4 linked regions of the Alligator mississippiensis genome follow. The protein of the gene in region 4 purifies or fractionates together with the protein of the main gene of each other region. This does not show direct contact. Links are inferred from orthologs where the notes say so. Each region holds a gene or a part of one and is shown on either strand. Other genes may lie near its edges. The genes, in order: PRKACA, VPS13C, PITPNM1 and VAPB.

The links.
Region 1: the proteins of VAPB (region 4) and PRKACA purify together in Homo sapiens (affinity purification with mass spectrometry; 4 studies listed by BioGRID and IntAct, with this or other methods). This does not show direct contact. The link is inferred for Alligator mississippiensis from reciprocal best matches to the Homo sapiens genes VAPB and PRKACA.
Region 2: the proteins of VAPB (region 4) and VPS13C purify together in Homo sapiens (co-immunoprecipitation; 3 studies listed by BioGRID and IntAct, counting the BioPlex papers as one, with this or other methods). This does not show direct contact. The link is inferred for Alligator mississippiensis from reciprocal best matches to the Homo sapiens genes VAPB and VPS13C.
Region 3: the proteins of VAPB (region 4) and PITPNM1 purify together in Homo sapiens (affinity purification with mass spectrometry; 5 studies listed by BioGRID and IntAct, counting the BioPlex papers as one, with this or other methods). This does not show direct contact. The link is inferred for Alligator mississippiensis from reciprocal best matches to the Homo sapiens genes VAPB and PITPNM1.

The regions. Positions count from the first base shown.
Region 1 is NC_081831.1:24,686,180-24,693,578, reverse strand, and holds the start of PRKACA (cAMP-dependent protein kinase catalytic subunit alpha), read right to left. Parts: upstream 3,073-7,399; 5' UTR 3,012-3,072; coding exon 2,879-3,011; intron 1-2,878.
Region 2 is NC_081834.1:32,718,537-32,726,198, reverse strand, and holds the start of VPS13C (intermembrane lipid transfer protein VPS13C), read right to left. Parts: upstream 3,245-7,662; 5' UTR 3,200-3,244; coding exon 3,100-3,199; intron 2,713-3,099; coding exon 2,669-2,712; intron 1-2,668. UniProt on the Homo sapiens protein: Mediates the transfer of lipids between membranes at organelle contact sites. Necessary for proper mitochondrial function and maintenance of mitochondrial transmembrane potential.
Region 3 is NC_081825.1:170,460,796-170,468,904, forward strand, and holds the start of PITPNM1 (membrane-associated phosphatidylinositol transfer protein 1), read right to left. Parts: upstream 3,148-8,109; intron 3,034-3,147; exon of another isoform or gene 2,729-3,033; intron 2,544-2,728; coding exon of another isoform or gene 2,527-2,543; coding exon 2,449-2,526; intron 1,978-2,448; coding exon 1,763-1,977; intron 1,375-1,762; coding exon 1,253-1,374; intron 1-1,252. UniProt on the Homo sapiens protein: Catalyzes the transfer of phosphatidylinositol (PI) between membranes. Binds PI, phosphatidylcholine (PC) and phosphatidic acid (PA) with the binding affinity order of PI > PA > PC. Regulates RHOA activity, and plays a role in cytoskeleton remodeling.
Region 4 is NC_081832.1:8,560,735-8,568,568, forward strand, and holds the start of VAPB (vesicle-associated membrane protein-associated protein B/C), read right to left. Parts: upstream 3,187-7,834; 5' UTR 3,134-3,186; coding exon 3,076-3,133; intron 2,650-3,075; exon of another isoform or gene 2,635-2,649; coding exon of another isoform or gene 2,619-2,634; intron 1-2,618. UniProt on the Homo sapiens protein: Endoplasmic reticulum (ER)-anchored protein that mediates the formation of contact sites between the ER and endosomes via interaction with FFAT motif-containing proteins such as STARD3 or WDR44.

The sequences.
Region 1 (7,399 bases), on a different chromosome or scaffold from region 4:
CAGCTGCCAATTGTCCCCTGGGGATCCCCGCCCCCCTATACTCCTGGGTATTGCTGGTAGTGGACCTGCCTGCTTTACCTGAGAAGGGGAGAGAATCCAGGTGTCCGGGCTCCAAAACCCCTCCCTTCTCTATGCCATCCCTCCCAGAGGTGGGAGCCCAGATACCTGGGTTCCTACCTCAACCGCCTCCCCTCTCGACCTCAGGGCCTGCTCCCAGAGATGGGCAGGAAACCCAGGTGTCCAGGTTCCCAGCCCTACCCTGCTTCAATCATTACCCAGTAGGGCCCCTCCCAGTGCTAGGGACAGAACCCAGGTCTCCAGGCCTGCCACCTGCCCAATCGATCAGGACAACAAACCAAAGAATGAGCCCAGGAGTTCAGGTTCCCACCTCTGGGAGGGTTGGTGTGTGATAGGGGCTAGGTTCAAGGCAATCAGACAGCCTGCCCCCCCACCCTCCAAGAGGGACCAGCTTGAAGTACCTATTATCACCCCCAATGGCCCCATGCTATTCCCCCTCCCACCCCACACCAGCTAGACTCAGTGGTGGTTCCCCACAATCAGCTCCAAGAGAGCCAGGCAGCGCCAAAACCACCCCCTCACCCAAGCCTTCTGAAGACCACACCTGTCCCCCCCAACATAGGGATCAGTGCAGCCACCCCTGGGATAGCAGTCAGGTTACTGCCCCCACCACACCACACCCCCAGATGCAGCTGGTTTGGGGGGCAAATGGGGCCAATAGCAATGCAAGCCATAGAGAAAGCCAGCCATTTGCTTGGTGCCAAAACACAGCTCCTTCTGGGGGGTGGGTATTGGGAGAAGGGGGGCATCAGCCAACAGCAACATGACCTGGTGAACCATCACTGGAATGGCACCAAAATGCAGCTGGTGCTGGGGGGGGGGGGGGGGGGCGAGGAGGAACAGGGCAGCAACAAAGAGCAAGCAACCAGTTCACCCAGTGAAAGACTGCTCCAATGGCACAAAAATACAGCTGGTGCTGGGGGGAAACAGGGCAGAGGATGAACTGCCAACAGCAACATGACCTGGAGAACCAGCACTGGAGCAGAATAGCATTAAGATGCAGCTAGTTCCAAGATGGAGCAGCATCATAGGATGAAAGGCCAAGAGCAACACGACCTGCGACCTGCCGGGAGCTGAAATGCAGCTGGTTCTGAGACGATACAGGGCAGGGGGGAACCATCCAGCAGCAAGGGGACCCACAGACACAACCACTCAGCTAGCACCAAAATGCAGCTGGTTCTGGGGAAGGAGGTAAATGGCTAATAGCAACACGACCCAGAGAGATAGCCACCTGTTCACAGCCAAATGAAGCTGGTTCTGAGGTGGAAACAGGGGAAGGAGGTGACTGGCCAACAACATGCCTTGGACAAGCCATAGCTTGCTTGGGGCTGAAATGCAGCTGGCTCTGGGGAAGAAGCAGCAAGAGTCTGGCAACCTGAAGACCCATCCTTGCTCACAGCCAAAATGCAGCTGGTTTTGGAAGGAAACAAGGGAGGGGGTGAAGGGTAAACAGTACTAGTGCCCAGAGAACCAATCACTCACTCAGGGCTGAGATGAAGCTGGTTCTGGGGGGGAGCAGGGCAGGAGGAACAGCCACCAGCAACGTGGCTTAGGGACCTGGTGCTTGCTCACTGCCACATGAAGCTGGCTGTGGGGTGAAGGGCAGTGCTGAATGGCTGATAGCAACAAACCCTGGAGAAGCTATGGCTCACTGGGGACTGAAGAGAGACTGATTCTGGGGGCAGCAGGGCAAGGGAGAACTAGCCAACAGTAACAGATGCTGGACTAGCACCAAATGCAGCTGGTGCTGGGGGAGAAGCAGATCCGGATCTGCCCAGTCCCAGGCCTTAGCCTGGCAGGATCCACCTCCCCCCCATCCCCGAGTTTCCATTCCCTATGCCAGCCCCAGCCATGGACAGTGAAGGACAGACACCATGGCCTTGGGCCTGGAAAGAAGCAGCCCCCCTCTCCCCCAATCGATAAGCCACAGCCAGAGGGACCTGTTCAATGGGCGATGAGGCGGGAGCCACCCCCATTCCAAAGTACCCAGACAACCCTCCCACAGCCAAGAGAACCCAGGGGTCTGGGCTCCCAACCTCCCCCTGCTCTATCCACTATCCCAACCCCACTCACTTCACCAGCTGGGAAGAGAAGCCAGGCATCCCAGCTCCCAGCCTGGATGGGTTCCAAAGCCACCAAAACTCTCCTTCCCACCCAAAGCCCCCTATGGCTTGGGGGGGTGGGAGGGAAGGGCAGGCAGGGGGTTTAAAAGGGCCTGCACAACACTGGCAGGTGCCTGGCACTGCTATTTTTGCCTGGGTGCCCATGTCAGGGGCCACTGTCACAGCCTTGAGTATCCAGTGCCCCTGCACTCCCCTTCCCACCTCCCCTCCCCCAGAGCTGGAAGAGAACTCAGGTGTCGGGGCTTCCATCCCGATTGCCCTAAACTAGATCTCATTGATCTCCCGGCAACTGGGAGAAAGCCCAGGTGTCTGGCCTCCCAGCCCCCTCTCTTGCTCTAACCACTAACCCCCCAGTCCCTTTAACTGCCAGGGAGAAAACCCAGGTATCCTGGCTCCCAGGTCCCATCTTTACCTCTAACACATCAGCCCAGCCAGCCCAGCTGACAGCCAGGACTCCTGTGTTCCCCAACCCCACTCTGGGCCCGTTTGCCAGCAGCCTGCCTCAGTTTCCCACTATGTGCAGCAAGTGGGGGGGCACTGGTGATGATGCTCTTGATGGGTCCAAGCTGATGGGGCAACAACATGGCAGGAGAGGGTCATCCCCCTGACCCCTCCTCCATCATTCTGATTTACCCCCCACTGTCCCCCCATCTGCCCCATCCACAAGCCCCACTCACTCTGCTGGTTCCAGGCGGCTGCATGCTCTGTCTCAGGAACCCTCCCTGTGCTTTCAGGATCCCCAGGGTCCCCCCGTGGACCCCAGGAGAAGATGCGCCCGGCCAGGCTCTCCAGCCTCTGCAGTGCCGACATCTTGCCCCCCTTGGCCTTGCTGGGGGTGGGGCTGGGGCCAGCTACCTCTGGCCCGTGGCTCATGCTGGATCAATGGCCACTGAAATGTTGGTAGCCGCAGCCATTCCTGGACTGCCCCCTCCCCCCCCACACACCTTGACACAAAGGATTGGGGGCTCAGCTGGCAGCTACACCAGGGTCCATCCGGCCTGGCTTCACTGGAGTTGGGGGCCTGGCCTGGCACAGGGCCCTTAAGCCTGGCTTCTGGGTGCAGAGATCTTGGCACCAAGATGTCAGTCACAGGATGGCTGGCGAGTTTCACTGCTGGGGTCTCTGGTCTGGTCAGCCTCAGAGCTGCCTTGATCAGGATTTGGGCAGTTTTGGGGTCAAATTCAACAGCTGCCCTTGGCTGGGGTCTGGTCAGGTTCACGATCTGCTTGGGGGAGTCCAGTCAGTTTCACAGCCGCTGGAGTCTGGTCAGTTTCAGGATCAGCTGCTGCTTGAGGGTTCGGTCAGTTTCATGCTGCTGGCTCCTTTCCAGCCTGGGGGGGGGGGGGGGTGTCCCCTGGGTCCAGGGCTGGAGTCCAGTCAGTCTCCCAGCTGCCCCCCCTGGGGCTGGTCAGTTTCAGGTCAGTTAGGTTGCCTTGGACTGGGGTCTGGTCAGTTTCCTGGGAGTCGATCAATTTCTGCTGATCAAGGGCTGCTGGCCTCCAGTCAGGATCACAGTCAGGTTGAGGGCTGGGGTTCACGGCTGCTCCCCACTCCAGGGGTCCCCCCAGGTCCAGGATCAGCTGCTGTTTGAGGGTCCTGTCAGGTTCAGGGCTAGAGGCTCCTCCTTTGACTTCCATGGAGCAGACACGTCACAGGCATGAAATAGTCACAGGCATCAAATAGTCGCTCCAGCTGGAGGGGGCAGGGGAGCCCTGGGTGGGGGAGGGGGGGCAGGGAGGGGACAGCCCCCACAGTGAGACCCCTCCCACCTGCAGGCCCAGTGCCCTCTGGAGGCAGCTACTAGGGTTGCAAGCCAAGGGGAAGAAGTAGGGGGGTTCCTGATCAGCTCAATCCAATCACCAGCAGCAGAGAAAGGGGCAGCAGGTCCGTGAAGAGCTGCCCACACTCAGGCTGCACCCAGCTCTGGGGTGGGGCATGGTGGGGGAAGCATGGAGGCTCCTTGACCTTGGAGAGTGGAAGCCAGGGCAGGCGGGAGCAGAGGCCTTTCCGTGCCAGGAGGCAGCAGTGGGGGAGCCTCGAGGCCCCAGTGGCTGCAATCAGGGTCCCCCTGCACAAGCTGGGGGGTGGTGGGTGCGGGTAGGGGCTGTTAGCGCTTCTGTCCCCTGCAGGAGCCATGGAGGATGTGGCCTAGCAGCCGCCCCAGCAAGTGCAGCCACAGAACGACCTGCAGCCAGAACTGGAAGTCACTGTCGGTACTGGTGCCTGCCTGCGAGACCTTGCCAGGGGCTGCCTCCATGGTGCCCCCCCACTCCAAGGCTCAGCTCCACCACCCCCCAGCACAGATCACAGCACCCTCCCCTGTTGCCAGACCCCTCCCCTGGCAGCAGATCCTGTGGCCAAGCAGGCTGGGGCGGTGCCAACCGCTGGGTATTGTTGCAGGGAGGGACCCCAGGGACCAGCCTGGGGAGGAGGGCAGGCACAGCGCCAGGTGCCCTTAAAGGCATCAGCGCCTGCTGAGGTGTTAACCTTTTGGGAGCTGGCACAAGCTAGAATGACCCCCTCCTCTACCCTACCAGTGCCCCCAGCTCCAGTGGTGGGGAAGGGCAAAGCCAGGCAGAAGTCTGCAAGTCTCAAAGGGAGAGAGGGAAGGAACCCAGGAGTCCTGATGGACCCACCCACCACACTGCCCCTCCCCTATCAGAACCTTCACCCTCCCCAAGCACCACCAGACCCCCAGCGGCTCCCAGGGCCCAGGAGGGAATCCAGAGGTCCAGGGTAGATGGGCACCCCTAGCCTGGCCAACCTCATGGAGCCAAGGGCTGGCAAGAGTCTGGAGGCTGTCAGAGGGGTTCAATGCACTCCAGAAACCCCAAGCAGAGGGCGGGACTGCAGCAGAAGGGGAACCCCCCAGTCCATGCCTGTTTGAGCAGGGGGGAATATTCCTTCCTGACCCCAATGTAGTGACAGGCTGAGCCTGAGCTGCAACAAGATGTAACCAAGGCCCTCTGGGTCTGAGTTCACCCCCATCCTGGGCTACAGACAGCACTTGACACTGTTGAAGGAAGAGAGAAACACCTAAACCCCTATAAGCAGCAGGGGTGGGGAAGAATTCCTTCCTGGCCCCACATGGCTGCCAGAAGAGCCTAGAAGCCTGGTAAAAAAACAAAACAGACCCTGACTGTGGGTCTCCGATCACACCTAGCTGCCCAGGCCTCTTCTCAGCCTCCAAGGCCAGATGGGAGTCAATCAGGGGTTTCCAGCCCCCTTGGGGGGCCCAGCCCACAGGCTTAATGCCAGGTCCATCATGACCCCCGCACCTGGAAGGGAGGGTAACAGCCTATCACTGCTCCACGCTAAACTGCCTCATTACACCCACACCTGCCTTAGTTTCTCACTAGCAGATGAGGTCCCTGCCTCCCACCCCACACAGCGACACCAAGACCTCCATCATTAACCACATCACCTCAACAATGTATCCAGCCCAACCCCCTTCAGGAGGCTCCTCCCACCCACACATTCCCATGACGACCACTGCTGGGGGAGGTCGGTAAATTAAACCTGTTTGGGGCTGGGGTGGGGCCTCTGGGACCCAGGAGTCCCCTGGAGGACCCCCATCCCTTCCGCCCCCACTCACCGCCTGCCTCCATCTTGCCACTTTCTGCTGCCCTGGGGCTCGGCCTACGGTGCCCTGGTGGGGTCAATCTATTTGGGCCCAAAAGCCTACTGCTGCTGGAGGGCTGGGCTGGGTTGAGCCCTCCAGGGTGCCGTACAGGGGTTGGAGGGACAGAGGCCTCCTGGGAATGCTCCTCTGGGGAGCCTGAGTTTGGTCAATAGGCAGGGAGAGAAGCCCCTGATCTGACCCCTCTGGGGAGCTGTAGATGTGCCAAGCGAGCCTCTGGGTGCGACCCCTCCTGGATGCTGTAGCACGGCCAACAGCTAGGAATGGAAACCCAATTTGTCCCCTCCGGGGCACCACAGATTGGCCAGTGGGTAGCAGGAACCCCTAAGCATGAGCCTTCTGGGGAGCCGTAGACTGGCCAGTGATGGAAACCCCTGGATATGACCCCTCCAGGGAGCTGTAGCTTGGCCAACAGCTATGAATAGAAGCTCCTGGTTTGCCCCTTCTGGGGAGCCATAGGTTAGCCAGCAGGTGGGAATAGGAACCCATCCTGCCTGACACCTCCGAGATGCCATAGATCAGCCTGCAGGCAGGGATGGGAGCTCCCAGGCACAACCCCTCCAGGGATCTGGATTTTGGCCGACAGGTAGGGAGGGAAGCTCCTGATTTGACCCCTCTGGAAAGATGTAGACAGGCCAAGCAGGAGGCACGGTGGTGGTGTGATCCCCGTCTGAGGGCCAAACTATGGATCTCTAGAGGGGTTATTCCCAAGTCACAGTTCTCCCCCTGCGCCTCTGTACAAAACCTCAGAGGGGTCAGCCGAGCCAGGCACAGCCCTCCAGCAGATAGAGGTGCCGAGTGGGGGGTGGAAGGACAGGTGGTACTGGGCTCTGATACCCACAGGGGCAAGAAGGAACCAGGGAGGTTGGGGCAGCACTCCCCGGGCCTGCACTGAGGGGGACCAGATTGGGAGGCAGACTGCAGGGGACAAGTGCCAAGACCCCAGAACCCAGGTGATCTGAAGCCTCCCCCCCACCCCCATCCCCCTCATCAGGGGGCAGTGACCAATCAGTGCATTTTATGGATAGGATCCAGTAATAAACAGCTGCCCCCAGGCCCCTTAAAGAGACAGTGTGAGATCTGGCATCCATGCTTTTTATTCCCCCTCATACTGAACTGAAGGTGGGTTTAAAGGGGAAACAAGCTGCAGCTTTCCCATGATCTCCTGGGCCTGCCACAGCCAAAGATGAGCCTGGGACACAGGCAGCCCCACTTCCTGTCCCAACATACTTCTGTCTGGCAGGTCTCACCAGTGTCTATTCAGCAGGGCTAGAATAAGGCAGGCATCAGCTACTAAGCCTGACCACTGCCCAACCCATGGCTCCAGGGCCTCCATGTCCCCCTTTGATCTAGTCCTTGCAGCCAAGAAAGGGTTAAACCACAAAGGAGCCAAGCATCCAACTTCCTGTTTCCCATGATCCTCCCTGTGCTCACTCCCCCCCCCACAAATGCAGCTGCCTGGCTGTGATTGGAGGGAACCAGGAGTTGGGGTGGGGGTGGAGCCAGGAGGCCTAGGTTCTCCGCCCAGCAGTAGGAGGGCAGTGGAGGATGGTGGGTT
Region 2 (7,662 bases), on a different chromosome or scaffold from region 4:
ATCTCACTCTGGCACTGTCAGAGTAAGTACCCATAATGACATTACACTTCACAGTACTGGAAGTATGTACTCTAGAAGCTCTTAGAAGAGTTGCGAGAATTAGCAGTATGTTATAGATCTCCAAGACAAACCTAAGCCAAATGAAGAGATACCAATTCTATCAAAAATTTGGTAGCTGGTTATTCCATTAGCCTCAGACAAATACAAATTAAGAGATGGGTTTGATTTTTACTATACACTAACCTTTGCAAGTGTAGTTAGTAGGACTGTGCGAAACAGCACCATTTCCTTTCCACTTCCATTTCAACAGGACAGTGCTTCGTTTCAAGTTTCATTTCGTTTCGAAAGCACTGTTCCGTTTCATTTAGTCGAAACAGGTTTGCTGTTTTGAAGCTGTTTCAATGTTTCGCCCATAGGCTATAATGGGGAAGCACAAAACTGCCTATAACTGTCATTTTGGAGCAGATTTGGATGAAAACAGCAGGGACGGTAGTCCCTTCTGAGGGCATAAAGCTTGCCGGCTTTCAAGGACATAGGTGCAGGGGTTTCTGGGAAACTGCACCTCAAGGTGCTGACAAGCAAAACTCCTGATGCGTGTCTGTGCGCACCCGCACTGGTGCTGGGGCCTCTACGTGACACAGTTGTGCGCCCCAATGAGGTCTCCTCCTCCCCTACAGCCTCATCTCAGTCCACCACTTTAAATAACAAGAGGTAAAATAACTTAGTGAGCAGCAGCGCAGTAGCATCAGCAGCATCTCAGGCAGCCAAACTGTGACAGAGCTCTTCTTTCCTCTCCTGCAGGTGTTTCTTCTCCAGCGTGTGCTAAAGCATGCCCTCACTGCGTCCTTTGCCTCCTCTTCCCTCTCCCTCTCCTTACCTTTCGTTTCCCTGCAGGCAAGCCCAGCTTCAGAACTTGAAATGATTGTCCTTGTTTTGTTTCGAGGCTCTTTCAAAACCCTTTGTTTCATTTTGATTTCACTGTTTCAAGCTTGAAATGAGTCGAAACAGTCTCGAAACAAACAGCCAGCAAAATTTTGCACTGCCCTAGTAGTTAGTGTTGTTTCCTAACTGGAAATATTAGTAAATCAGTGAAAAGCTAAAATATCTAAATACATTACAAATATAGGCAAAATATAAAGGTAGATCAATTGTAAAGATCAGATTGGTTTGCAACTACATCAAACAGGGCTGCATTGTCATGCATATATAGAAAGTAAAAGTATGTAGGTATTTGTAATAAACAAATCAAAATCAATTTCCAGTGAGACCCAGAACTGTATCTATTGCCACACAGTATAGCAGCAGTGGCACAGAATGAGTTCTTCATTTAAGCTCTAATATTCCAGTAAAACTCTTTCAATATTATTCAAGTAAACGAAGGACTGTAAAGAATGAAAATGTGGTCAAAATATTTTCTATATAGTTGTGAAGAAGAAAATATATTCCCTGTTATTTCCCCAACCTACCAGTACTACTACCAGTGACAGTGTGACAGCTGCAGCACTCAGTCCCGGCACCTACTGCACAGGCCAGCCTCAAAAGGAGAACCTCTCGGCCTACAACTTACCACTGTGATTAGAGCCAAGGAGGCTCCACACAGACACAAGGACCCATCAGATATGCAAACAGAGCAAGTCTAAGATTGGAGTTGAGCATCCATAATATTATGGACTTCTTGATGGGGTCATCAAATAAAAGTAAAAGGTAGTAAATTTAAAATAAACCAGAGGAAGCTTTCACACAGCCTCTACTTGAAATGTGGAATTCTTTGCCACCACAGGCTGTGGATGCTAACAGTTCAGCCAGATTGAAAAAGGGATTGGACAAATTCTTGGAGGAAAGGGGCATCAGTAGCTCCTGAGCACATAAGTTAGGGATACAGACTCTGAACTGGAACTTCTTAGACCTTAAATCCTAAAGGCTACAAGTGGGAGAGGAAGGGGGGGGGGGGGGGGGGGGGGGTTGGATCCTAATCATATCCAGGTCACTCTCCATTTCAGTATCCATTCTCTGCCTCCGTGACAAGCCCAGTGCCTGGAGACCCTGGGCTAATGCCCACAAGAAAATGCTATAGGCCTCCCTTAGAAAGGGAGGTCACTAGATAGGCAACAACTGAATGCTTGAGACAACTAGACATAACAGCGACAGCAGTGAGGTCAGAGGTTTAAAAACAGTATGCCAAAGGGGGGACACCGAGCAGAGCACCTGGACAGCGCCCAGCGCCCCTCATAGGAGTCCAAGGAGCCAGTGTACGCTGCCCAGTGATGGACCTCACATGGGAAAGGAAAGCAGCCCAGCAGACCGGACAAGATGGAGCTGCAGCCCAACCTGGTCAACAAGAGCTCTTATATTCTTGCCAAGCTGGAGAAGAACATAGAAAGGACACGGGCAACACAGTTAAACTGTCTTCCCATCTCCAGTTTCTGACCTATGGGGTGGAGAGAGGGGCTGAGGTTAGACCCACTGAGGAAGACTCATTTCATCATGCAGTTGTACCTGTTCAAGCCTGAGGACAAACAGTGCCCTAGGTTTTAAGAAACAATCACTGGCAGTTAAAAGCAAGCCCTCAGTGACCAAGTGAGGAGCAGGAGGCCCCGTGGCCCAGCGGCAGGGGTGCAAGGGGAGCCCTTAGAAAGGTTAAGAGTCCCAGTGCTGTGGGAACACTTACAAGGGCGTTCTCCTTTATCTGCAGGTTATCCAGCGCCACATTGCCTGCAAGACACAAGGAAGGCGCGGTCAGGCCAGCTGCAAGCCCACGGGACACGAAACTGCTGCAGCCAGGCATGCTGGGGGTGCAAGGCGGATCAGGGACTATAATCAGGCAGCTAGCACCAGCACGTGCCTGGGGGTAGGGTCCATCCACGCGTGTCTCCGGCTGTGGGCACCACATGGGCTCCAGAGCCAACCCTCCAGCAGCTCCTTCTCCCCCCGGCGGTGGGCAGGGCTCTGCGCCCGCAGTGCGGGGCGGGAGGGGGGGGGCGTGGGCGAGCCCCACGAAGCTCCCTCCCCGATCCGTGAGGGGGGGGCAGCCCCTCCCAAGACTCCCGACAGGTGCGCGGCGGGGGGAGAGAAGGGGAGGGGAGAAGGAGCAGCTCCTACCGCCCCAGATGCCGAGCTTGAGCTGGGACTTGTTGAGATTTTCGACGTAGGCACCCAGGAAGCGGTTGAGCAGCTCCGCCACCACCGACTCCAGCACCATGATGGCGGCAGCGACTCCAAACCCCGCTCCCGAGGCGCGCGCGGAGCGCACAGAAATGCACGCGCAGCGCCCCCCGCCCCGGCCCGCCGCGCCCCGCCCCCTCACGTGACCGCGGGGGGCGCGTGACAGCCCCGCCTGCCTCGTGCCCGCGCGCCCGCGCTTTCCCGGGCTTCCCCCTGCGTCTGTCTGCTCCTGGGCGCCGCGGGGTGGGGCTGCGCGCGTCCCTCCTCCAAGCGCGGCCTGGGGCCAAACCCGCCGGGGCCACTTCCGCGCGCGCGGCTCCGCCCTCGGCGGGCACCAAGCAAGCGGGAGCTGGGGCGGTGCGAAGAGAGCGAGCCGGCTCCGGCCTCGTGCTCCTGAGGGGGGCCCGCGCAGGACATTCGGGTTTCTTCTGCTGATACAAAAGCCGACGCCTTTATGTTCTCTGTTGGAAAAACAGGAGGCTGTGAAGGCGCTGGGTTGTGTTTCAGTAGAGGACAGAGTAGCAAAAAGCGGGACTGTCCGTTATGATGGCGCCCTACCCGCCCGCCGCCCGAGAGGCAGGGCCTGCCAGGCTGGGACCCCGGCCCGCAGCCGGATGAGAAGCAGCAGGAGGGGGCAGGGGTTGTTGTGCCTTGTGCCTGCTTTTGGGAAACAGGCAGGACAGACAGCAGCATGCCTGAAAGGCCACGTGCAGCTGCTGGGCACACTGCTTCTGCCCAGGTGACAGCTTGCCAAAACGGTTTTGAAAGGGATACATTGGGAGCGAGTTGTGTGGGTGCAGCCCACCTGACAGGGTAAGACCGCAAGTGTGGCCCACTGTGGCAAATAGGTTGAGCACCACTGCCCTGTAGAGTGGGCCCAACCAAAAATATCATCAAATCTATCCTGCTGTGCAAACAGGGATGTGCCAAAGCCCCTGTTTCCCATTTCACTGCAAGTTGCTACACACATTTTACCTCTGGAACAGGAGATGAGGCAAGGGCATGGTTCTGTTCAAATGCACTGCTTCTGTGACAGCAGCTACAGCTGGAGGCTGTGACTCCCAGGTGCTTCCATAGTGCTGGTTTAGGAAACAAACACCAGGACTAATTGCTTCATGTAATTTATGATATAGGGCGGGGGCTGGCAACCTACAGGCCAAAACCAGCCTGCAGAGCTATTCTATCTGACCAGAGAAGAGCAAGATTTTGCAGTTTTAGTACATGGGGCAGAAGACAGAAGTGGTGGCAACAGCCAGATCAGAAGGCCAGCCTGTCTCCAACTGAGCTGAGTAGTTTTGGCCCACCACTCCAGCAATGGAGCTCCCCCTGGTATAGGGAAAGGAGTGATTGTCTTGTTTATCCTTCCTCTCTCTCCCGCCTTGTTTTGTAAGAATGAGTCAGCAGCTGTCCATTTTATTTTTACCAGTTAATTTCCAATTTAAGAAGATGACAATCATCTTTCACTTGAGCTATTTATTTCTGTACTAACAACCACTAGGTTAAGCAGTCACTGCCTTGCCATGTAACAGGAGTCAAGCCAGTCGTTTTTTTTCTATACAGCTTCTTCTGCAGGAGACCTTTTATCACATTGTTGTAGAAAATATAGCACTTTAAGGTATCTGAGTAACTCACAGAGGAAAGGAACCCATTAGAGATCATTAAGAAGTAATGATACCCCTTTAACATTCTTCCAGGAGTGAGTAGCACTGCAGAGGAAGTAAAAAGTGAAGTATTGCTTCTATGACAGGTCAGCAAGTATTTATGTTCACAGTAGAGAGCACTGTAAATCTCAAGGAGACTAAAAGAAGCTCCACAAAGTCATTTGAAAATGTTAAGGGGTCCATGATCCACAAAAGAACAGCCCTTACAAACATAGAACAGCACATTCTCTTTAAAAGCCAGCTCTTAGAAGAGTCATGAGAATTAGCAGTATGTTATAGATCTCCAAGACAAACCTAAGCCACATGAAGAGATACCAATTCCATCAAAAATTTGGTAGCTGGTTATTCTGTTAGCCTCAGACAAATACACTTTTAAAGAGATGGGTTTCATTTTTACTATTCACTAAGCATTTGCAAGTGTAGTTAGTATAATTTCCTAACTGGAAATATTACTAGCCAGTGAAAAGCTAAAATATCTAAGTACATTGCAAACACAGCAAAATATAAGGTAAATCCGTTGCAAAGATCAGATTGGTTCTCAAAAACTGCTGTTATGGGCGCTGTTTGCAACTATACCACACAGGGCTGCATTGTCATGCATATAGAAAATAAAAGTGTGTAGGTATTTGCAATAAACAAATCAAAATACATTTGCAGTGAGATCCAGAACCACATACCATAGCAGCAATGGCACAGAATGAGTTCTTGGTTTTATCCCTTATTCAGTTTATAATGCCAGATTCCATAATATGTAGTTCAAATATCAACCTGCCAGAAATTTAAAAATAGATTCTAACTTTGAGTACAATGTAATCATAGTAAACATGCATAAAATTGCTCATTACCTATAATATCATTGCAAAACTTGAATACCATTGAATCAGAAAGCCATCTGTGAACAATACAAATTAGCACTCGCAGAACCTTTTAGGAAATAAATCACAGAAGTACTAACAAATATTCTGAGATAAAGCAAGAGCATAAACAAGATCTTGCATACTTCAGGAGCTTTCCTGTGTAAAGTAATTTGCCCCAAGTAATTTGTCCCAGCCTTCCAAATTGTCAACTAAAAACCTAGAAGGCAAACGCTAGCAATTATTTAAAGTGTAAAATTCTGAGGTTTTGGTTGACTGGTTTTGTTTGTTGCTACTTTTGGTGGTGCTGTTCTTATTTGTTTGATCCTGTCTTATACATGTTTGTTTGCAAAAAATTAGTCAGACAGAAAATTAACTGCTGGAAGGGCACATTAAGCTTCTTTTCCTATCCCACACACAGGTACTGAGATGCTTATGATTAGGGATCTACTTAATTCCTGCTGAGGTGAGGGAAAAATCACAAGCCGCTCATGGTGCGCAGTGCCATTTTTTGCGGTCTTTTCAAAGTGGTCTCCCATCGTGCAGCCGTGCCCCTCACTGCTGATTGGGGGAGAAGGGAGCAGCCACCATCTTTGCTGGTATCCTTAATGCCGGTGGCTCTTGCTCCCCCAACACCGGCCAGGCTGCAGTGGCCTTGAGGACTGCTGGCTCCCCCTGGAAAGCCAACATCTTATTTTTAGTAAGTTTTTTCCTGTTGATTCCACACAAAAGTCTCCATTTTTGCAGGGTTCGTGTAAAACACTTTTTTTCACAGTTTCTGTGAAGAACGCAAAATTGCATATAGAGTACATCCCTATTTATGATGTTCATCAGTTACAAAGTAGAAAGTGGAAATTTGTTCATAATACTAGGGAAGAGCATAAGAATATCACACAGGCATGCAGGAAGAAAATTAGGAAGGTAAAGACATGGTTTGACATGTAACTGGCAAGGGCTATACATTGGCACTAAAAAGGGATTCTACAAGTATGTCAAAAGTAAGAGGAAGATCTAAGAAACCATAGGTCCCTTATGGAATGCAGAAAGCAATTTAGTTATGGATGATGCAGAGAAGGCTGAAGTATTAATTTTTTTTACTTGTCTTCACAAGTAGAGGCAGCTACCTAATGCCAAGTACAGTTAGCAGCAGAGCATTGAAAACTCATGGCATGCATCCAGACGAGCACACACGTGCCTCTTGCCCCATCTCAAACCCCTTTGAGGTGGGGCAAGAGGCATGTGCAGGAATGAAAAAATGTTCCCCACACTGCAAGTCCTGCTGCCAAGTGACCAGCCCAGCCGGGTAGCAGACAGTCCCCAGTGGAACTTGGCTGGGCCTGACATGTGGTCCCTGCGTGCTGCACCGGGTCCTGCCACCATGGCCTGGCCGGGCAGCAGAGAGGCCCTAGGGCCAGCAAGGCCCAGCTGGGCCTGGCATGCAGTTGCTGCATGCTATTCCAGGTCCTGCCGCCATGGCTCAGAGCGCCCCACTCCTGGATGGGGGGGCTGGGGCCCTCTTGGTGCCTGGGACCCTGGGCAGGGGAGGGCTATGACCCTCCATCGGGAAGCTGGGACACTGTGTGGGGGGGAGGGGCTGTGGCCCTCCAGGAAGGAGCTGGGACCCTGGGCAGGGGGGCTGGGGCCCTCCTGGGGGGAGCTTGGGCCCTGTGTGGGGGGTATTCCATGTGCTGTGTAGGGGGCTGCACTCTGTGGGGGCCAGGGGACCCACCCGTCCTGAGCAGCCCCCCCATAAGGTCCCCCCAGCAATTGCCTCACACCTACCCACACATCAACCCACATCCCATCCCCTTCCTGCAAACACCACATCGCCCCATCATACACCCATCATGTGCAAAGAAAACCAAAAGCACACATCAACACATGGGTATTTAGAATTTATTTTATCATGATGATAGAGACACTAGTAGGCTTCCACACTACTTTAACACGGTAAATATACCAATAAAGCATTGCCCAACTGATCA
Region 3 (8,109 bases), on a different chromosome or scaffold from region 4:
CCCAAGGAGGTTCAGGCTGGAGTACAGGCAGGGAAGGGACCACCATGAAGCCAGTGCTTTCCCTGGCTAGGGTCAAGGATGCAACCAGGGGATTAACTAAGGAAAAAAAATCAGATCAGGTAGAAGCAAAGTGACCTTCTGTAACTGCCTTGCACCCTTTTAGGCTGGAGGAATGGACTTATACTTCTGTGAACAATACGAAAAAAAAAAAACAAAAAAAAAAAAAAAACACACAACTAGAAGGTGCACATCAAGCCTGCAGACAGACCTGCTCTCTGCCCTCATGCAGAAGTGCCTCAGAACCCCAAATTCACAAACTAGCATTCCAGGATCCTTCCTGCAGTAGAAGAGCCAAGGGGGAGGAGGGGGTTGGGAGAAGGGGAGCCACAGAGTCCCTTCCCCAGCACTACAGAACACTGGGCACAGAATATACAGAGCTTAAGCACCACTATGGGGCAAACTTGATCTCTCCAGGTCAGAGTACCCACTCCTCAGCTCCTACTCACACTCCACTAAATGGTTCCCATTAGCCCCACTCCATTCAGCGCACTTCCCTAGCCCTGGTGGGCAGCAATGCTGCCAATTAGATTTGAGGAGCTCAAACTGGGGAAGGACATCTACCCTGTCTCCACAAGTCCCAGATTTGCACTCCAAAGGCAGGGGACAGATGTTCTTGTGGGGAAGGAAGGGGTGGGGGAAAGAGTCAAAATTGTGTTGAGGAGGGTGGGGAATGAGGGACACATACCCTAAATGTTTACTGCCTGACTTGCAGAGGCATTCTGGTTCTCAGAGGGAGGAAGTTAACAACTCTCCACACTCGGGGAGAGTTTTTCTGCTGAAAAAGATTCCACATAACCTGGAAATGAGTCAAGACTGTTTTATAGCCAGGGGCTATAAGCTCTGGGGATTGTAGTTCTTTGCAGTGCTGAGCATATCCACATTACACCTGCCCTGATATCATTTTTTCCTGAGACAAGTCTGAAATTGGGTGCCACAGTTCTGCAAGAACTCCACTGAGAACTTGCATTAGTTCAGCTGCAAAAGCAGTGTAGCCCCCAAGCCACATCATGCCATATGTCCACATCCACACTGTCCTGCATCCCCTCCCTCCTCCCCACCAGGAGGTGACATACCAGAGAAGCCATTCTTCAACACAGAACTCTATCCAGCACTACCGGACAGCCCACCGGCAGCTCAGCCCACAAGGTCAGGTACCAGCAGGAACAGCCCCAAGCCTGGCAGCACTGCTCACCCAGAATCCTCTGCCTCTTCTCTGCAGCACCGAGGTTGAAGATGTTTGTCTGTTGGCCAGCATCGGGCCGGTAGTAAGTCTCAATCTCAATGGAAAACTTTTCCACAAAGGGACAGGTGTATCTGAAAGGTGGGAGCCAGCTTGAGAGGAAGGACCTCAGAGAGGAGGCAGTGCCGTGTGATGCAGGGATAGCCAACTCTCCCCAGTAGTGACCTCAGCTACCTCTGCCCTGTACTAGACTCCCCTGCCCCCTCCAGTGTTGCCAAGGCCTCTGAGGTGACTCCAGGACTGAATGCCCACAATCACACAGTGGGAAGAAGAGGAGACCCAACAAGTCTGCCCCAGTGGACAGTAGCTTCCCACCACCAACTCCTTCCCTCCAGAATCCAAGAGCCCACGCACCCCCGCCAGTCATGCACCCCCACTCCCAAGGCGCCCCTGCCTCCACCACCACCACATGCACCTCTTTTGCACCCTCTCCCTGGCCCACGCGCAACCCACGTGGCCCACCTGGTGCGTGTATAGGGGTAGGCATTCCAGGACTCCTCCTCCACCTGCAGTGCCGCCTTGGGCAGCAGGGCTCGAAACCAGCTGGGAATGTGAGAGCCCACATGGTAGATTTTGTGGGTGTACTGACCGCTGCCCCCTGGGCCATCACTGTAGGGCCTGTTGGCCAGGATCTCCACCCCACTGCCCTCCCCACTCGACTCCTCCCGGCTCTTCTTCTGCAGAGGGAAAACCACTGTGTCAGTCCTGAGCTGCCCTCCCACTCGAGCCCAGCTCACCGGCCACCACTGCCGACACCCGTAGTCTGTGCTCTGTGCACAGACCCAAATTCCCCATCCCACAGGCGTATCCCAGTCCGCCTCAGACCAACCCTCCTGCACCCCATGCAGAGCATCCCCACCTCCCATCCCGCAGGCATATCCCAGTTCGCCCCACGGACCAACCCTCCCGCACCCCATGCAGAGCGTCCCCGCCTCCCATCCCACAGGCATATCCTAGTCTGCCCCACGGACCAACCCTGCAGAGCGGCCCCACCTCCCCATCCCACAGGCGTGTCCCAATCCACCCCATGGACCAACCCTCCCGCACCCCATGCACAGCGCCCCCACCTTCTGTGGAGCCCAGCCCGGGCCCCAAAAGGAGCGCTTCAAGTCATGCGTTGCCCGTCCCGCAAAACACCATCCCCTCACCTGGATCATGTAGAGCTGGGCCACCTGGTACTCGTCCAGACTCATGGGCAGGAGGATGTGGTACTCCTTGATCAGCATGGCGACCCAAGGGGAACCTAGCCAGCAAAGGACAGCAGGGTAGCGCCCTTGGACCCGAGGAGGCACCTCTTGCCCCATGCCAACCCCGCCAACAGGCCCCCTGCAGCCAAGCCCGAGGGCGGGAAGCCCTCCCGCGTGGGAGCGCCCAGGCAGCAGGCCCCCGCGAGGGGGCGCTGCCCCTCCAGCCCCGTGCCCCCCGCACCTGTCCGGCTCGGCCGCGGCGGGGATGCTCCGGGCGCTGCAGGGGCGGGGCGGGGCGGGGCGGGGCGGGGCGCGCTCAGCACTTGGCGCTGGGCCCCGGCAGCTGCCAGCCGGCCTTGCACGCCCGCTCCCGCCCCCGCTGCGCGGCCTCGCCTGGCATCGCTCGGGGGGCTGCGGCCCGGCTGCTCCGCTCCCCCCGCCGGCCGGATCCCGAGGAGGAGCGCGGCGTGGCCGAGTTGGCTGGGGCGGGGGAAGGGAGGGACCTATTTTTAGCTGGTCTCGCTTCCCGCAGCCCCCGGGCTGGGCCCCGCCCCCGCGCGCGGCTCAGCCCGCCCTGCCCGTGCAGCTGCCGCTCGGGGGGGGCAGGGCAGGATCGGGACCCGGCGCCCAGCCTCCCCTCCCCGCCCCGCCAAACCGCACCTGTTCGCCTTTAAGAGCCCGCCGTCGTCCCCCCCTCTGCCTGTGACATCACGTTCGGTTACCGTGGAGACGACTGTGACATAAGAGGCCGGTGACATCAAACCAAGAAAGGGCATGAACAGGCAGAGGTGGAGAGGTCGGGACGCAAACTGGCAGCCTTTCCCCCTGCACGCGTGACCGTCCAGGATACCCCCAGAGCCCTGCTTGCCTTCTTCCCCCCAGCATTGTGCGACTGGGAGGAGATGAATGGGCAGTGCCGCCAGGAGGGATCCAGTCTGCCCCACAGCAATGCTACTGGTCGCTGGACGTAGGGATTGGTCAGCATCTAGGTTGGACGTGGGGCCATGGGTCCCTGGAGGGAGCCCCAGGCAAGGGGGAAGAGGTGGTAACCAGGTAGTGTTTGTGACAGACCACCCATTTGCCTCTTACTTCCCACTTCCTCCCAGCCACTGAGCAAGAGATGGAGAGCAAGATACAGAACATGCATATCAACAGCTCAAAAAAACCCTGCTGTTAAATTCAATTTTCCCTTTGAGTGCTTGTCCCACACTGCAGCATGGGTGATTTCTAGAGTTCACCTGGAAATGGGCTTTGGAGTCCTATACTTTTGGGGGCCCCCACTTCAGGAGGGATGTGGAAAAGCTTGAGTCCAGAGGAGAGACACTTGTATGATCCAAGGCCTGGAGGGCAGGCCATACAAGGAGAGGCTGAGGGATTTGGGACTCTTCAGTCTGGAAAAGAGAAGGCTCAGAGAGTACTTGGTGGCAGCCTACAATTATATGAGGGGGGCATCAGGACCTAAGAGAATAGCTGTTCACCACAGCTTACCAAGGGATAACAAGGTCTAACAGCCATAAACTCCAGGAAGGCCGATTTAGACTAGACGTAAGAAGAAAGTTCTTTACAGTGCGAGTGTCCAGGGTCTGGAACAGATGCCCCCCAGAGGGGGTGCAAGCACCTACTCTGGACTTTTTCAAAAAACATGTGGTTGTATTCTTGCTAGGGTCACTTGATCCCAGCTGACTTCCAGCCTATGGCAGGGGGGCTGGACACTGATCTCAGGAGGTCCCTTCCAGCCCCTAATGTCTATGAAATCTATGAAATCTAAAACTTGTTGAAAAACTGGGGAACTGCTTCAACAAAGGCACAGTGCTTGGGGATATATAACACTCCAAGTAGCTGTCTGTTGGATGTTATTTACATAAAGATTTCTCAGGGAAACCATCAAAATCACCTGGTATCTCTTGTGCAACAACCTCATAGCACACTTTAATATAATATGTAGACCAGTCTCCAAAAGTATAGTCTACAGTCTAAAATCACCAGGCTTATCATTCTTTTGGCCAGGGAAACAAGCAACCAAGATTTCCTAAAGGCTCAAGCCTTTGCAAGTGGAAGGATGTGGCTTTCTGACCATGTGCATCACTACACAGCTTCAAAGCTTTGGGGAAATGCCAGCAGGTCAATCAGCACTGGGGCAAATCCTCAAGACCATATCTGGATAATGAAAAAAATTAACAAGGGGCCTACCCTCAGTGCTTGAATCTCAGCTTTCTTGGTGGCAAGAAGTGAAAGTATCTCCATGGACAGGTGGGGCAGCAAGCAGGCTACCATATGCTGAACTAAGTTCAGGCCCCCCGAGAGAACAGGATCTCTCACCAACTGAAAGGCCTCTTGTCCCAGTCTACCTGGTCTCCACCTCCATTTCCTTTCCTTCTTGCCTGCTATGCCTTGTTGTTAAGAACATTAAAGGAACATTACTTGTCTAGAGAAGAAGAGAGATCCACCTGACTGCAGGTCATCCTCTTCATGGGTCTCCTCCCAACCCTACACCCTGCTCCTTACAACTCCTGGCCTGGTGTCCAGATTTGTAGCCTTACCTTGGGGGTTTTGAACCCCACCATCAGCAATGGCTACTCGGTCTGCACCCCCAAGCCTTTCTTAGGGTACCTCAATCAATTCTCAATCTAGTTGAGAAGGCTGATCGCCAGCTACTTTATTCCCTGATGCCATGGAAGTGCAATCAAATATTAATAAAGTTCCCTGTCTCCCATGGCTCACACATTACCAATTACTTACCAATGAATTCAACAGCCCCTTTTTCACACAACAGAAGATCAACTGATTATCCCCAAATCCACCCCCCCCTTCACTAGTTGCCCAGATTTATTATTAGTGAAATTACCAGCCTCCCTTTGATTCACAAAAGATCAATTAATTATCAATTAATTCCTCAATTAAGTCTCAATGAATTCCACAGTCCCAGCTGACCCAGGGCTGAACAATTTTAATCATCAATGAATTCATCAGCCTCCCTTGATTCACCAAAGATCAATTAATTATCCCTGAATTTATCAATCTTTATCCTTCATATTAATTACATTAAAGGTCCCATTCTCTCTCTCATCAATGTATTTGGATCCTTCCATCAGTTTACCAAGTCTGACAACACTCACTCTAAATTCGCTGCCTCCCTGGGAGCAGCACTTTCCTTTCCACTCGTCAAGTTTCCTTTCACTCGCCTCGTCTCACTCAGTGGTCTGGCACCGAGCTTTCCCCGTCTTCCCAGACAAGCTCACCGGACTCTTGCATTTTGGTTGGGAGTCCTGGTTCTGCATCTCTACACGGTATGCACAGCACTCCCAGCCTGCCATGCATGCCCCTCTCCAGGGCTAACTGTATGTGCAGGCTCCTTCCTTCTAGTCCACCAGAACTCCCACCGACCAATGAGGGCTCCCTCCCCCTGCACGTGCAGCCACGTGCAACCGGGATCCTGCTCTTTCACCCCAGACTGCATGCAGTCCACTCCTCCAGCCACTCATCCCCATCAGCTTCTTCAAGGTAAGCTTGTTCCCCATCCCTGCCCTGCCAGTGTTCATTGGCCAGAACAGGGACCAGAGCCAATTCCCAGTTACACCTTGGCTAGACCACAGAGAACTTCATGTCTCATAGGTGGGAGAAAGCTGACTGAACTCCTGAAGCTAACAGGATGTCAGGCATACCCCAACTAAGCTGAAGTTGTCAGCAGCCAAACATCACCTGTAGCAGATAGTCTAATGTGGCTGGCATAGAAATCTCTTAAGGCAGGGGTTGTCAACTGGGGGTACTTGGGAAGGCCCTAGGGGGTACACATGGGTGGGCAGGGATGGAGCGCCACCTCCCAGAAGCAGAGCCGGGGGCGGGGGGAGAGGACCAGGGTGCCCCTCTGCAGGCCGTGCAGGTGCCACCTGGCTGACTGGACACTGGAGGGGAAGGGAGGGGAGGGAAGTTTGCACACAATGACAGACACTACCACCCACCACCCTGTGCTGTTGCTGCTCTGCACGTGGCCACCACCACCACACCCCTCCCCCCCACACACCCTCCCCATGTCCGGCCACCAGGGGTACACTGATTAAAAAAGGTTGAAAACCCATGTCATAAGACAAGTAAGCTTTTGCACAATGCCAGTCCTTGTCTCCTTAGCTAGGTAAATTCATCAAGTCAAGCCTTTCATGCTATGCAAGAGAATGGTGATAGGGAACAGGACAAGCTGCACTGCAGTGTCACAACATTTGCATGGTGAGTTATGGGGAGCAGAGATCCAGAATGTGCATCTTGTTTTTGGACCAGCAGGGCTGAGACCAGTGAGAGCATTTAGGGGCACTTCACCAACATCTGAAGAAGGGAGCTTCAGATTAACTTCCTCAGCCAGAATGGGGCCCACATTAACTTCCTCAGCCAGAATGGAGCCCACAGAGTCCTGCCTTGCCTTGTACAGAACTCAAAAAATAAGGTATGGGTGAGGAGGCATGCAAGACTTTTCCTGTAGATGGGATGAGAGAAACAGCACTGTCTTTTGGTGCCTGGAACACCCAGAGATCGATCTGTTTATCCACTCATCTGCAAAGACAACCTGAAATCTTTGATTTCCTGCTTACTGTGCAGGGGTGTGCCTGCTAAGGCCATCTGCTGTCATATCCCTAAAGCAGGGAAATGCATTATCCAGAAGGGTATCTGATGGCATGCACACCAGTTTGGAGAGGTCATACATCTTGTTCTTTTATATAAAACATTATGGTGGTAGTGTCCATTAGGATCTGTAACCCTATACCCAGCATACCCTTAAATGTGGTCTAGGAATAGGGTGACCATATGGGACACTGGGAAATCTGGGACAGTGTGTGTGTGTGTGTGTGTGTGTGTGTGTGTGTGTGTGTGTGTGTGTGTGTGTGTGTGTGTGTGTGTGTGTGTGTGTGTGTGTGTCCCCCTCAAGTCAGAAGCACTGCTGCAGGAAGAAGCACATGGTGCTGCAGTACCAAGGCAGAGCCTGGAACGGTGCAACCCAAAAATGCATCCCCAGCAGCTGGGTGGCTGAGAAGGAAGAGCAGGGCGGGACATCCCTGCCCCCCCCCCCTTCCCTCAGGGCAGGGAGAGCTGCCCCATCCTGTTCCACCACTTCCCCTCCTCCTGAGGAAGGCTTGAACTCTCCCGGACTCTGAACAAAAGCTGGTCCCTCATCCCAACTCCACTGGGCTGTAGATTTGTACAGTCAGGTCAGAGCCAGCCTTAGGGGTAGGCAACTTGGGTGACCACCCAGGGTGCCATGGTCAGGGAGGTGCCCCTCCCCCACACCAACGTGAGCAGCCTATGTTCAGGAGGAGCCAGGTCGGGCACATGCAGGCAGAACAGTGCCAATTCAATACTTTTGTTTAAATTTTCACCAGCTGGCTGGGGCGCTGAGACAGCCTACAAAATCCAAGACTGTCCCAACCAAACCCAGATGTAGGGTCACCCTATCTAGTAACACCTGGCTTGGTCTTTGTGTGGTTTCAAAGAGTAGAGACCTTGGGCTTAAAGACTGTTAAAAAGCACTGCCCATCCCTGCAGGAAAACACCTGTCCCAAAAAACTAACCAGGGCTGACGGGAAGAATAGGATCCCTACTGACTGTCCTCCCTGATGTGGTAAAAGGACTAATAAC
Region 4 (7,834 bases):
TCCTCCACTTGCCAATACTGCTGTGTGCCAGTTGGGGAGCACCATAGCTACCTGCTGAGTCACCAGGCTGGGACTACCTTTTTGTAGAGGCCACGTTCTACAAAAAGCTGTTATCACACCTGAACTAGCCAATCCAGGCCATTTCACTGAAATAACACTTCCAATTCTACTCTTCGCCCTTCCCAGCATCCCTTAACCCACAAGGGAAGCAAAAACATTAAAACATATCTAAAACCAAAACTGGCTAACCCCCCAAACTGTTGCATACGAATCAAATTTTAACTGGGAGCATTAACAAGCCAATCATTTCTCTAATGCTGCTTTGCACAGGCAATCTAAACCCAGCAGAAATCCTAAGTCTGCCCTCTTGGGAGCTCATCCCATGTACTGCAGGGTGCTTTAAGAAACAGTATGAATATGAAATTAGAGACTGTCAAAATGCGTGCAACAAGGGACTGGAAAGACAGTACATCTATTATTTTCCCTACCTGCAAGCATCGAATTCTGATATCTAAGCTAAAAAGGCTCTTTTTAAACAAAGGAGTAGGGGGAAGTTTGGATGCAGTTTTTTTTTTTGGAGAAGGTAAAAAAGCATTTATGTGATGTATAATTGTGACCCCCTTTTCCATCACCTTCAGCACAAAGTTTCGTTATTGGACCTACAGGATTACACTGGCTGACACCAACGTAGGAGTAGGACTAGAACGCCTATCCCACAGGGGCCTCAGCTTGGCCACGTGCTGCTGGGGCTATGATCCATGTCAAGCATACAAGACTCTTTCCCCCCTTTCCTTCCCAGTAGCTGAATTCCCAGCACAACACGTACATCTGCTACTGATGCTACTTCGGTGACGATGGGAGCCCAGTTTTAGAATTTCTGCCAAAACAGATTAACGTGAACACTTTCTTTGTCAAAATGTTGATAAAAAAAAATTCCCCTCCAAACCTGACCAAAATGTTTTGGAATAAAAAAAAAAAAAAAAAGGTACAGTGCCCTGTATTATTTTAAAAGGTCTGTCGCAAACAAGAAGTCTTAGAATTTCTCAAAAAAAGATTCCCAAAACAAAGTGTTAAGGTGTTAAAGTTACCAAAAGTGGGAGCTGCTATGCACCCATTGCAGGCACACACACTAGGGGATATTTCCTCTCTCAACATTATATTTCAGCCCAGCATGCTGGAGCTTTTTTCAAGCAAAAGCTAACTTTCTGGTCCTCACACTTAAACAGAGTTGTATAAATTTGAGAGATACAGACTTCACAAACGTTTCGATCCAGAAGTGGAGGTATTTCAGTTATGGGATATTTACAGACTTTCATTTCCAATACAATATAATGAAATCAAGGCCCCAATCCTATGGAAACACTGAATCCTTTGTAAAGGAACCCTGTGGTCCCCATTCCTCAACTGTATCAAGTGTTTCTGAAAAGTGGTATTTAAAAAAGCAGATTCACAACTGCTTTATAAAACCATGGTCACATGAGACCTACCCAGAGCAGAATCAACTTTCTGAATATTACAAATGCACCTTTTCTGAATGAGTATATATTATTCTATTTAAACCAACTGGCTACAAGTAAGAGAGAGTTATTACTAATGAGTGACTATTTGCATACCAAACATCTCTTGTAGGTGTCCTTTGCCACAGACCATCCAAGCTCAGAAGCGACTTTGCCTTTTAAAAAGCACATCACTTCTGCAGCCATGACAGGAAGAGATCTAACAGCTAGTTGACTCAACTTCAGCTACTATGGACTGTTTACCCTTGACCCTCAAGGCCATTATTTTGTCAACCTCTGGTTAGCTTTCTTCACTCCAATAAAGACTAGACGCTGCTTGTTTGAAAACATCGAGTTTGTACATACGAGAGAAAACCAGACACCCCCCCCCCCCCAATTCAAAATTATAATAAATCTCATTCACAAGTCAATGCCAATTAAAGGTCAATTCTTTTGCCCAGCTCCCTACATTTTTATATACGTCTGTTGGAAAGGATTTTTGCTCGCTCAATAAAAAGCCAAAAGTTATTTTTAACATTACTACCATATAATGCAATAGTTGGCTTCGAAAATGTGTTTGACACTGTTACCGTGGCAACGTGCAAATACTTTGGCCTGCAGCAAAAAAAAAAAACCCAACCCCCCCCCCAAACCCAACACATTCATTCCAGGTAACGTTTTGAGCTATTAATTTTGTCCCTCTGCAAAAGAGCAGATTATCACGTTATTTCCAAGATGCTGGTCAACGACTAGGATAACACAGTCACAAACAAGGGTATTATTGAAGATTTCAGATCTTATTTCACCCTACCGATGTCCTCACAACCCACACCCCTGTATCATTGAAGCCACACACTGAAAACGGCAGCTCCCAGGAAAAATAAATGCGAGCAACGAGGGGGAGAGAGAGAGAGAGACACCATGACATGCCAAGGAGACGGAGGCTGGGAAGAAGGCGAGCGGGCCGCGCTCCCTTAACTTACAGGACTCCTGCTGCCCTCGCCTGAAGCAAAAAGGGCTGGGAGGCGGACTGTGTAAAAACCTCCGAACGGCGCGTCGCACCCACACCCGCTCCATCCATCCATCCATCCATCCATCTGTCCACCCCATCCATCCACCTACCCGTCCATCCGCCCATCACCTGCGTTTATAAACAACGAAGCCCTTCCTCCGCTTCGTTTGCAAGGCGCTCATCTTAAAAAGAGATGTAGATGTGTATATCGTTTTAAAATTAAATTAAAAAATTAAAAAAAAAAAAACGGGAGGAAGAGAAAAAGGAGGGTGGTGGGCGAGGAGGGGGGCAATGCTGCTCATTAAGACCAGGTTTTTTCCCCCCAGGGAAACCCACTGCACATGCTACCCCGCGTTTCAGCTCCTTCAGAGAAAACCCCCCCCCAGACCCCGGGGCAGCAGGGATTGAGGCTGTCGGAGCCGCCAGGCCCGGCGGCGAGACGTCCCCGAGGGGAGGGAGAGGGTCGGGCCCTCCCAGCTCCGGCCATTTGCACAGGCCGCGGCCCTGAAGGACGTGTCCGCGCGGGGCCCGGAAAATGGCGGCGGGCGGATGGGGGTCACCGCTTACCTTTGAAGCGGAGCTCGTGCTGCGGGTCGAGGCTCAGGACCTGCTCCGCTTTCGCCATGTTGCTGGTGGCGGCAGCGACGGCGGCGGGGCGGGGCGGGGCGGGGCCGGCGCTTTATCCCGCCGCGGTGCTCGGCCGGGGGGGCGGGGCGATGCAGCACGGGGCGGGGCCGGGGGCGGGGCGATGCAGCACGGCGGGGCGGGGCGGGGCGGCCGCTGACGTCTCCCCTGACGGGGGCGCCCCGGGCCGGGCCTGCTGCGGCACCCCGCCCGCGTGGCGTGCACAGGCGGGGCTGTACCCCTAAAAAAACCGGGGTGCCTCCTTCAGGTCCAAAGTGCACCCGTGCTATCTAGCATGGCTATATTTTTAGGGGTTTGAAGCCTGCAATCTCCTAGTTCTGCAAGCCGGGGGGGCTCGGCTCCTCCTCTAGACCCCAAGTGGACCCACGCTAGCTAGATGTTTGTATTTTTAGGGGTTTGAAGCCTGAAAATCACCTAGTTGTGCAAGCCTGCACGGCTCGGCTCCTCCGTGCCTCCTTCACGTCCAAAGTGGACCCGTGTTATCTAGCATGTTTGTATTTTCAGGGGTGTAGGTTGTAGCCGTGTTGGTCTACGGACACGGGCAGACAAGGCTCCTTGGGTGCGTCGGATATCTTTTATTCGACCAACTTAAACAGTTGGAAAAATAATTTTCTTAGCAAGCTTAAGGGTTGAAAAACTCTTGGTGGGGCTGAGGAAGGCGCTGCAGTTGGTGCGCGCTGCTCCTGAACGTTGGTGACGCGTAGGGGGTGCACGCGGGTGCATGTGCACCCCCCGAGTGTGGCAGTGCACCCCCTGCGAAAAGGCACCACTGACACTGCTGGCAGCGCCTGCAGACGGTCGCTGCGGACACTGCTGGTGGTGTCCGCAGCCAGTCCGCGATTGCCGCTGGCTGCGCCTGGAGGTGGTTGCCGACTGCCGGTCGGAGCTCACCACTCTCCCCCTGCCGACAGTGCTGCAGCCACCTGTGGGAGCTCCTTGCTTGCTGCCGCCACTGACAGTGCCACCGCGGCCTGCAGGAGCTCACCGTACCGCCCCAGCCTCCAGGGCACGCGTTCGTGGTAAAGAAGCCAGAGGCTGGGCTAGTCTGCATGCAAGACAGGCAGTCAGTAACCGTAAACTGAGGAGTCAGTGGGTGACAGACAGGCTGCAGGGGGGGAGAGAGGAGGATGAACGTAGCAGGCAAATAGTGGAGAGGTACCTGGGGAGTCAGATGTCTGGCAGGTTATAATGTGTCATAAATCCAATGTCTATATTGAGTCCATGATTTTTTGTATCCAAGAGGTTGATGAAGTGAAGTTCGTAGGCTTGTCTGTGAAAAGTGTTTTGTAAATTCCCTTGGAGGATTAGAACCTATATTTTTAGGTCACATTTAGAGACTCTTCTTTTATCTATAACTAAGCCTCCTGACTTTATACCTGGAGTAGTTAAAAAAAATTAAAAAAAAAAAAAAGGCGATTGCACCAGGGAGATGCTGTTGCCGCACCCTGGGCACACTCTGTCCCCACCCACCCACAGGTATCCCCTCTGACCTAAGTATCCCTAGGGGTATGTGTACCCCCAGTTGACAGCTCCTGTTTTAAAGGTAAATAAAAACGATTTTTATACACTGTATGTTCCTCTATTATTCATATTCAAGTCCCTCAGCCCATTTTTCCCATAAGCCTTTTGTCTTACCAAGCACAGATTTGCCAACCATGGGAACTTCCAGGAATCTAATCCCCGTGAGGAAAACCTGTATAATATATTCCCAGCTTTGTAATGGCCTGAGATGTCGTGGTGGCCAGAGGAAACGCTACAAGGACACATTGAAAGCATGGCTCTAGAAAACGGATGCCAACACAAAGAGCCGGCTGTCAATGTTAGCCCCCGGGATAACAGGAAATAATGGCCGCGAGTTGTTGGAGAGTAGGTTCAGACTAGACATCCGTAGGAACTACTTCACAGTCAGGGCGGCTAGGATCTGGAACCAACTTCCAAGGGAAGTGGTGCTGGCTCCTACCCTGGGGGTCTTTAAGAAGCGGCTTGATGCCTACTTGGCGGGGGTCACATGAACCCAGTTTCTCTCCTGCCCAGGCAGGGGGTCGGACTTGAAGATCTACAAGGTCCCTTCCCACCCTACTTCTATGATTCTACCAATGGACTCCAATGGTACCGCAACTGCAACCAAACAGCAGCCCATTTTGAGGTAAGGTATCTTGCCCTTGCAGGAAAGAAAAGAGCAGAGGAAAGAAAAGGAAAGAAAACCTAGCTTATGGTTTACTCTCCCCTCTGGAAAAACCTGCAACTTCTGTGGACAGGTCTGTGGTTTAAGTACTGGACCCTTCAATCACTTCAAGAACCATCAATGAGCTGTGGTAGAGATTATTTTTGAATCAAGGGATTGCAGCCACTACCGCGGATTTCTGTATACAGGTTTCCCTCACCATCGCGGGGTTAGGTTCCTGAAAGTTCCCGTGGTTGGCAAAACAAAAGGCTTATGGGAAAAATGACAGGTGGTGGGCTGATACGTGGCCACAGAAAACCGTGGTTACTCAAAACCATATACCGTGGTAGCTAAAATAGAATATTAAGTGTGGCTACTCAAAACGGTGGTTGGCAAGGGAAACCTGTATATCACTTAAAGAATTTCTGAGTTGTGGTATACATCAGTGTTTTCCAACTTTTCCAGCCCAAGGCACACTTACGTTAATACATTTTTTCCGTGGCACACCTGTTAAGGCATTCCCTGTCCTCATACCGTTTGTAGCTCATTGCCATGGCAAAATTCTGCAGCACACCCATTCATTTCTGACGGCACACTTTTGTGCCTTGGCATACTGGTTGGGAAATACTGGTATACATGTTTCTCAGTCAGGGATTTGCCAAGTTTGGGCTACATACTAAAGCTATACACAGCATAGTTGTCTTAAAAACCGGCATTTTTATACACGGGGGGAAAAAAAAAATCACACTGGTTTTAAGAGTGAATTTTACTTATCCTGGGCCTTGGGCATGGGAGAAGAAATTGCACATTTGCCAAGATGAAGAGAAAACACATGGTGGGTTGATTTAAAAAATAAATAGTGATGGCAACGACTGCTCAGGGATTTGTGTGTCAGAATAAGTCTGAACAAGGTAAACTAGTGAGCATAAGAGAGGTGACTAAGTGCACAAGAAACTATTTTTTTCAGACTGCTACACCGTTACTACATCAGTCCAAATTCCACATGTGATGTGCAAAATACAGATGCATATTATACAGGTAAAGAGATAGTGTATAACATGTCTTATTTTCATTCCTGTCTATAATCACAAGTGATTTATCCAGGACTCGGAAGATCTGGAGTTTGCAATGACAGGGTTGTTCTAGTTTTTGGCAGTAAAAGCAATGGCAAATGATTGATATGCATGTGAAAAATCAACACCGCTAAGTGGGAGGGTTATATTACCATGTTCAACACTGAGGAAGTCAGCACAAGTACATGTCTGCAGTATTTATACCACATCTCAACACTTCAGCTGCTCTTGTCTATATTCATCTCTGCTTTTCAGCTGCTGACTTGTTCTGCTTTCTTCAGATACTCAGAACCTGTCCATTCTTTTATTTTCATTTTTTTCTGGGACATCTTTGATCTTGAATATTTTTTGTAGTTTAGTATTTAGCTTTCAGTATTATATAGCATAAGTGACAAACTGACAATGGTTATGGGCACAGTTCTCTACTACTGAAGTCAGGGGAGTTCTACCAATGCCTTCATAACATACTGAGATAGCTTGGTGCTGCAGTCCCCCAAATTCCCTCTCCATCTGAATGAAAACATGGTCAAATATAGTCACGAAAGTACAATGTGGATTTTTTTTTTATTCCTGCTGTATTCCTCTATTAAGTTTATCTACCTTGGATCTGGGACATTTTGCCCCATTATGATTATTTGTGGTGTTCTCATTTACTGTATCACCCTAAAATAGAAATTAATGTACAACATTTAACCAGATTTGAAACCAGACGAAATTTCATTTATTGTTCTAGAAAGGGGGTAACTTATTTGAGGAATGTTCTTCCTACAATAATTTGTTGATGCTCTGAAGAGTTTGCTTTGTATTGTAGCCTCTGGGGGTTTATTTATTATTATTATTATGAACAGATTGTTCTTTTTTTAAGCCGGACATCCTATGTCCATGAGCACACCCATGGCCATCAGTCAAAAACTTGCAGGCACATACTGGCTTTCATCAGTTACTAAAAACCCAGGGCAGCCCAGAGTAAAACTTGCCGCTTCCAAATGACCTAAAATTATAGACAAAGTATAATATATATATATATATATATATATATATATATATATATATACACACACACACACACACACACACACACACACACACACACACACACACACCCACCCCTAAAAGTATACAAACCGAAATACCACAAGTAAGCCTTCAAGGTACTGTTTATACCTCTTGAAACATCCCCCTTCTGCCCGAACAACGTGCGTTTAAACAAACAAACAAAACCAAAACCTTCCTCCTCCACCATTTAGTGATCCACCTTTTAAAGGATGCTGGGGGTTTATTATTTTACAGAGTACATTGTAACTAGCATCTTCAAGCCACACAGATTTGAGGGCTCGCCCATGTTTGCCTCCAGATGCTTTATATACTTAAAAAAAAAAAAAATCAATGTTACTTACTAAAGGTAAAATAAATTATGAGCCTAAATGAACATAGTCTGTCAGGT